2 linked regions of the Caenorhabditis elegans genome follow. The protein of the gene in region 1 interacts with the protein of each later gene in a pairwise test. Each region holds a gene or a part of one and is shown on either strand. Other genes may lie near its edges.

Evidence for each region. Proteins that work in one complex are often made in the same cells at the same time.
Region 2: the proteins of mpz-6 (region 1) and pro-2 interact in a two-hybrid assay, tested with the Caenorhabditis elegans proteins (one large-scale study listed by BioGRID).

The regions. Positions count from the first base shown.
Region 1 is NC_003280.10:9,404,998-9,408,751, forward strand, and holds mpz-6 (PDZ domain-containing protein), read right to left. Parts: upstream 2,124-3,754; 5' UTR 2,081-2,123; intron 1,980-2,080; coding exon 1,881-1,979; intron 1,621-1,880; coding exon 1,540-1,620; intron 1,483-1,539; coding exon 1,288-1,482; intron 1,245-1,287; coding exon 1,110-1,244; intron 1,062-1,109; coding exon 861-1,061; intron 789-860; coding exon 603-788; 3' UTR 537-602; downstream 1-536. Other genes in the region: arrd-2 (Arrestin C-terminal-like domain-containing protein), read left to right, coding at 2,857-3,078, 3,128-3,403, 3,456-3,754.
Region 2 is NC_003280.10:10,343,446-10,347,199, forward strand, and holds the start of pro-2 (Nucleolar complex protein 2 homolog), read right to left. Parts: upstream 1,668-3,754; 5' UTR 1,667-1,667; coding exon 1,446-1,666; intron 1,401-1,445; coding exon 1,118-1,400; intron 109-1,117; coding exon 1-108. Other genes in the region: C07E3.10 (uncharacterized protein), read left to right, coding at 2,957-3,061, 3,204-3,404; stip-1 (Septin and tuftelin-interacting protein 1 homolog), read right to left, coding at 3,698-3,754. UniProt on the Caenorhabditis elegans protein: Required for normal somatic gonad development and for regulation of germline development and proliferation.

The DNA.
Region 1 (3,754 bases):
GCTTCACAGAATAATTTACTCTCTGGCTTCACAGTATATTTTACTCATGGCTTCACAGAATAATTTACTCTCTGGCTTCACAGTATTTTACTCTCTGGCTTCACAGTATATTTTACTCTCTGGCTTCACAGAATAATTTACTCTCTGGCTTCACAGTATATTTTACTCTCTGGCTTCACAGAATAATTTACTCTCTGGCTTCACAGTATATTTTACTCTCTGGCTTCACAGAATAATTTACTCTCTGGCTTCATAGTATATTTTACTCTCTGGCTTCACAGTATATTTTACTCTCTGGCTTCACAGTACATTTTACTCTCTGGCTTCACAGAATAATTTACTCTCTGGCTTCACAGTATATTTTACTCTCTGGCTTCACAGTATATTTTACTCTCTGGCTTCACAGTATATTTTACTGTCATGTACATTTTCAGCCGTATCTTTAAGTGTGTATTATCAAATGAAAATGACAATTTATTGGCAAAATAGGTAGATTTTCAAAACTTTAAAAATTCATAAATCACTTCAAAGTAACTTTTTTCGAACAAATTTATTCCGAATATCTTCCTCAAGTTAAGATCCCAGACGTTTTGGAGTCATTTTCAGGGGCTTCGGAGACGGAATGTATGGGATACGAACTTCTGGGGCAGGCTCCGATGGCAAGGTGGCTGGAACTGGAGTTGGAGCTGGTGCAACGGCTGATTTGATAATACATGGAGGATTCGTGCACGGTTTCTTGTAGAAATCTTGTTTGTCTTCATAATTTCCAAAACATCAGAAGGAAGAAGCTGCAAAGAAGAAAATGAAAACATGTTTCTATATTTAAGTGAAGTGATAAAAGAAAATGGGTTTAAACTGACCACATCAAACTGCTTGTTGGCTTTTCCTTGGGGTGGTTTTGGAGGTGGAAGCATCACTGAATTTCCAGCTTTCTTCACTCCAACAGCAGTACTCTGTGCACCATCGGGAGGCAGTGGAGCAGGGCCGAGTGGATCAGTATTTGTGGATCTTTCCAATGTAAGACGTACCGTTTTTGTGTTGTTGACACTCGCATAGAGAAGCTGAAAGAGCGATAATAGTAGCCATTTGTGTTTCGGAAGATATCATACTTTTCTAGCAGAGTCACGATCAAGAACATAAATGTCATTAACTTTGACAAGAATATCTCCACCTTTGACATAGTGACACGCATTGGAAGCCGACTGAACCATTGAAATAGTTACAGTTTTTGGATCAACTGCCATCTGGAAACCATCTTTAAAAGTTTCAAGTGTCCCGATTACTGACTCTATGAATAATAATCCCTGTTGCAGCACCTCCACGATAAGTGAAAGTCAACTCAACCATCTGAGTATTTGGACGACGAGGTGGCAATGGTTTTTCAGTGACAAGGCAATGATCATCTCGCATGAACTCAATTGTCACTTTTCCAGGAAGTTTTGCACTGATTGCACGGATAAAGTCAGCAGTTGTCTTTATGTTCTGAACATTTGGATTAGTTGAAACGGAAGCGGAAACGGATCTTAAAATATTCCTTACGGTTTCTCCATTGACGTTCAAAATCTCATCACCAGCAAATAGAACACCCATCAATTGGCTACTCACGTCCACATATATGATCTCAAATGTGATTATTCAAGATCTCTTCGATTTTTGAATTGAAAATGAGTTTTTTAATAGCCCAAACTTCGTATTTATGAAAAATTAAGGAATTTTCGAATGTTAAACACATCAGGAATGCCGACAAAATTGTGCTCGTTTCAGCTCTTAGCGCGAGCCCTACGTTGAATACATTATTCAAAAAGAAATGTATTTCCATCTCAATAAATTATTTCAGAAACATTTCCCAACAAACAAAAACGAAATGAGCCCTCATTTACCTTCCCATTGACCACATCACATGCTACAACCACATTCTTCCGTTCGAATTGTACTTCTTCTTTTCCTTTTACATGAAAACTATTGTTGTTGGTTGTCATCTGTAAGAAGTTCATGTCAATGCAGTCCGCTTCTCTAGTAACTGGTAGAGTCACTATGCCCTCATTGTCAGACCCAACGCGCAATCTGAATGTTAACTTACTCCGAATGGATTGTTGCGGATACGAAAGAGCTATCGATAAGAAAATATTTAGAACTGAGTCAGTTTTTGTTTTCACTTTTTATTTTTCTGTAATTTTTTTCTGAATAAAACAAGTACAAACGATGTCACGTTGTTATATTAATTAAATTGATAAATTATTTATTATCAAAATATTATCAAATTTCGATGAGATCAATGGAATAGAACAATTCAATCATCGTTGTCTTCTGCTTTTGTCACTTTCTTTTGACCTCCTCTTACAAACTTTGAAAGTCTTGAACGAATTGTATTCAGATCTTTGCTGTATGTTGGGGCGCTGAAACCAATAAAAATTCGTTTATTTTCTCTTTATTTGAGCATTTCACCTATGAGCTGTACCTTCGGACTTTGTGCCACTATCAGATTCTTCAGTTTCAAATTGTAGGTGGGATATCAAGAAGACGTTGGAAACTTGATGGCATTGTTGGCATTTTGCTCTTTTATGCAGATCTTTTTGAAAATTGGAGATAAAAATCTGAAAATACGTTTTTCCATAACAAACACGACTTTTACACCGACACTGTTCTTCGTTGGTGCAGAAAAATTACAATATCGATTTGGAATTCTCATAAAAGAGCAGGTGGCAATCTACCACCTTTCTATATTGTCACATCACCTCCACACTCTCCGAGCAAGATGGGAAACTCCGCCCACAAACGCTGAAAGTTGATTACAACGACGTAGAATCTGTCTCATTCAGTCAGTCTTTTATTATCTCGATCTCTCCCTTTTGAATTATGTCTGTGAACATTGTTTTCTCCAATCCTTCCAAAACATACCTGCCTGGCGACTATGTCTCTGGAAAAGTGTTGCTCACAACAAAAGATCCAATTTCTGCACGATATATGGAAATCACGTGGAAAGGAGAATCAAAGTGTAATTTTGGAGGATCGGAGAGCTCAAATGTCCAACGCCATCTTGCCGGAACATTTATGGGATGGATTGCCAAAGATGGAGTTGTGAGTTTTTAATACTTAATAAATATATTTTCAAAATATTCCCATTCAGGACACAATCCCCGCTGGAACTCTCAAATCACGTTTCCGATTCCGACTTCCAGAAAATTCTCCGCCAAGTTTTTGCGGAATGTTTGGAGAAATTGAGTATTCTGTTACTGTGGAATTTGATCGTCCGTGGAGACTCAAGTTAAAAATGATGAATACATTCCGTGTGGTTCAGAAGACAAATCTGACACTTTCTGAGCCAAAAATGATGAAGTACGCGGAATTTGTCAAGTCGAAGAATTCTGGAACGATTTTCAAAGATGGATTGTTTTTGTTGAAGGTATTGTTCAATTTCAAAAGTAGAGTCAAAAAATTCACTCATTATATTTTAGCTTCACTTTTCCAAACGAGCATTCCTCGCAGGGGAGACAATCCGAGCACTTGCCATCATGGAGAATCATTCAACAAAACCAATCATTAATCTTCGTTTCGAGCTCATTCAACAATCCCATTACCACTCTCGCCCACAGAAATCATTGTGTTCTCTTAACGATTGTCACTCCGACTGCCCAATTGAATCCAAATATCGAAGAGATGGTGAAACAGTGCTCCGCGGAGCCAATTACAGTTGTGACGTCGCACCTGGTGAGGTGAAATATATCAATGTGGAGATTGATCTGCCAAATGGACT
Region 2 (3,754 bases), 940 kb from region 1:
ATTAATGACATATTTTGGAGCTTCAATGTCTGCACCAACTCGAGCAACACAAGCGACAAAAACATCGACAGCCATACGAACATCCGATGGATTGGTGGGTGTGGAGGTCTATAATATTTCATTTTGTTGGAATTCGAATAGGATTCTCGCACGATGGCCATAGACTATTTTGCTTCATTATCACTTTTTAAAAAAAATTTTTTTGCCAAAAAATATTTTACACTTTAAAAAAAAGTTGCACTTGATATTATTCAAAAAAAAACAGTCGCAACATCAAAATTTCCGTTTTTTTCGCTTCCGTCGACTTCGAGAAATTTTTTTTTCGGATTCAGCCCTATTTTAAATGAATTTTTTTTTTTTAATATATTTAATCTTAGACTATTTTGCTTCGTTTTTGCCTTTTTCAACGTTTTTGGCTTAAAAAAACGTTTTTTTCTCACTTTTCGAAAGAAAAAACCGCCTGTCGCTCACTGAAAACACAAAATTTTTAATTTTCACACTTTTTTCAAAAAAAAAACATTCCAAACTTCAAAATTTCCTTTTTTGCTTCTTTCGTGATTTTTGGCGAAAAACCTTTTTTTTTCGATAACGTTTTTTTCTGGTACAACCATATTTCCCAAACGCGAAATATTTCGTTTTATGCTAAAAGTATACGGTACCCGGTCTCGACACGACATAATTTTAGTTAAATGCAAACTCGTGTGCGCATTTAAAGAGTACTGTAGTTTCAAACTCTAGTTACTGTAATTTTCATTGATTTTTTATAGTATTTTTTACTGATTTCTTATTAATTATGTGATTTTAATTGTTTTTTTTTTGTTGAATAAATGAATATATTTTCAACTAAAATACGAAAAATCGATGAAAAATTTCTAAAAACCAATATTTAGTCACAGCTTGGGTCTGCTAATCATTTAGTATCAGGTTTTTAAAATTTTTTAAAAAATCATTTACTTCAAAATTTACGTTTTTAAAAAAATGTATGCGTTTTTAATTGTTTTCTCAACTAAACAAATATATTTTTTCGAGTTTGTCCGCAGTTGCCTCGCAACTTGAACCCAACGGACATCAAAGTATCAAAGTAAGTAAAGTTTTCCGTCTCGATAATATAAATTACCTCATCATCCAAAACGAGAACTTGTTGAAGGTAAGAGTAAACATTTGAATCCACGATAAGACGTCCAGAATTGTCACTTTTAATCTTTGGTTTTCGGATCTTCTTAATCTTTGTCTTGTCGTCATCCTCCTCATCATCCTCATCATCATCACTTTCCTCTTCCTCTTCATCTTCATCATCCTCATCGTCATCTTCATCGTCATCCCCATCATCTTCCATATTCAATAGATCGGCATCTTCCTGTTGAAGGAACTTGAAAAACTCGGGATCGGATTGTTTCAGTCTAAAAATATATATTTTTATTACCAGCTCGAAGACAATTTCTCACTTTTCCAAATCCAACTTATGCTTCTTCACACCTCCTTTCTCAACAGTCACAGTTCCATCATCTTCATCTTCAGATCCATCTAAACTTCCTTCTCCATCCAATTTTGGTACCTCCTCATCTGAACTTCCCTCGTCCTCAGAACTTGGCTTCTTTTCAATCTTGATTCGTTTTGAAATAACTTTTCTTTTTTTGAGTCCCGCGGGTTTTTTGAGAAGCTTCATCCTGAAATTATGATGTTGTGGAAATACATGATTTTCTAATATCGAAATGATAATTCAGTTGTACACTCGCAAAATTTTGCGCTAAAAATACAGTACCCTCCACAGACTTACAAAAATATATTCGCTTTTTAAGAGTACGGTAATTTCGAACTTTTTTTTCTGCGGCAGTCGTTTTTAGTCGTTTTTTTCACGATTTATGATACATAAAGATCAAAAACACTTTTTGAAAAGCCGCGAACTTTCAATCCACTACTGTATTTTTGTGTTTTGTTTAAGCGACCGAATCGGGGTCACAAGACCTCTAGAGACTACGGTCAACGAAGAGACTTTCTCATAGTCAGGAAAAAGATTCGGATGAAACGCGCGTAACAAAGAAGGAATAATTCTCTGACTGTATAGTCATCTCATTTGCATATTAATTCAAGGCAGGATTTCATTATTTCTTATTCTCATCCATGATAGGTTTTTGATTTAATTATTCTAAGTCTATAGAATCTAGGAATCTAGTATGTAGCTTGATTGGAACTTCTTCGTTCCGAAAGGTCACTTGAAAATCTATAGAGAACCGGTCTCATCGCTCGCTAGATTAGCTGCCATTTTTCCATTCGATGTCAAAATATCATAATAGTTTCTGCAATTCTACAAAATGACATAATGCACCATGTTTTTCTAACATTTTTAATTTCCTATTTGTGTCAAAAATAATTTTTTTTAAGTCACTAGATTTATCTGAAAATAACATTTAGTTTAAGGTAATTTTCTGCATTTTCTCAAAAGTTTCGGCTGAAAAAAATGTTATTTTCAGATAAATCTAGTGATTTTCTATATTTTTTCGACATAAATTAAATTCCATAAATAGGATATTTTTTGATGAAATTAAATAGTTAAACTATTGAGAATCTCATAAAAATTAAAATAATCCCACAATTCCCGCTAGCTACTTCAATGTTCCACTCCTAAACCACATACACAATCCTCTACATTTCGCAATAAATGTCCCCGGTACGATAAGCCAGAACGGACGGGAGATAGGTACAAAAGCCATTCTGCGGGATGAATTGGACACTTGTAGGATAATGGAAGGAGAAGCTGCTGGCTGTCGCCCGTCAGCAACATCAGAAAAACGAGAAAAATCTTTCCGCGCAGCCGTGGTGCGCCACAGCTTTTACGCTTCATTCCGTCGGCTTCATCTCTCGCTCACAGTCTTTCCATCGCTTTTGACTTTTATGTTTTTGTTTTATAGTTGAGAAACTGATACAAAATGTGAAAAATTGCTAATTTTCAGATTTCATGTTCGTCACATTATCCTACACAACGCACACAATTATCTCAATATCTCTACATGTTTTCGGAGTAGTGGTTGGACTATTCGTATGGTATTTATTCCCGAAAAATGTATGTTTTCTTGTAGAATTCTCGATTTTTGAGATAAATTTAGTTTCTACGATTCAGAAAAGATTACAATTTTTAGTATTTTTAGTAAAAACTTATTTTTTTAATTTAAAAGCTTCCAAAATTTTCTCATCTAGATTTTCAGCCGACGCGCTCAATTGTCCAACTCCCGTCAGAAAGAGTAGCTGTCTCGATTGAAACTCCAATAACTACAAGAAGTGAAAAACTGAATGCCTACTCCCCGACAAGTTCTAATAATAATTTTACGACGAATGACGGCGGAAAATTAATCGATTTTGATGATCAGCATATTCCACAGATCTCAGCGATTCGCCAATTCGGTTAACTTCAATCATTATTTTCTAATCGGTTAGAAAATTCAATTAGAATATTAGAATTTTATGAAATTGCGAAAAATTAACCGATGATTTTTAATGTAAAAATTTTACGAGTATACTATATTACAGTTTTTTTTTTAATTTCAATAAATTTTATAAAATACAAATACAAAGCAGAAAGTATAAAATAATGAACCGTTATCTAACGGAATGAATAGACAAGGTTAAAATTAAAACAATAATAAATTAAAATAACTTTTATCGTAAGTTTAAACAAGATCATATGATATGTTAAAAATGATTATCCTTGTGCACCTTGAGCCATTTGAATAAGCTCATTGAGCCCTGAAGGTCGCCA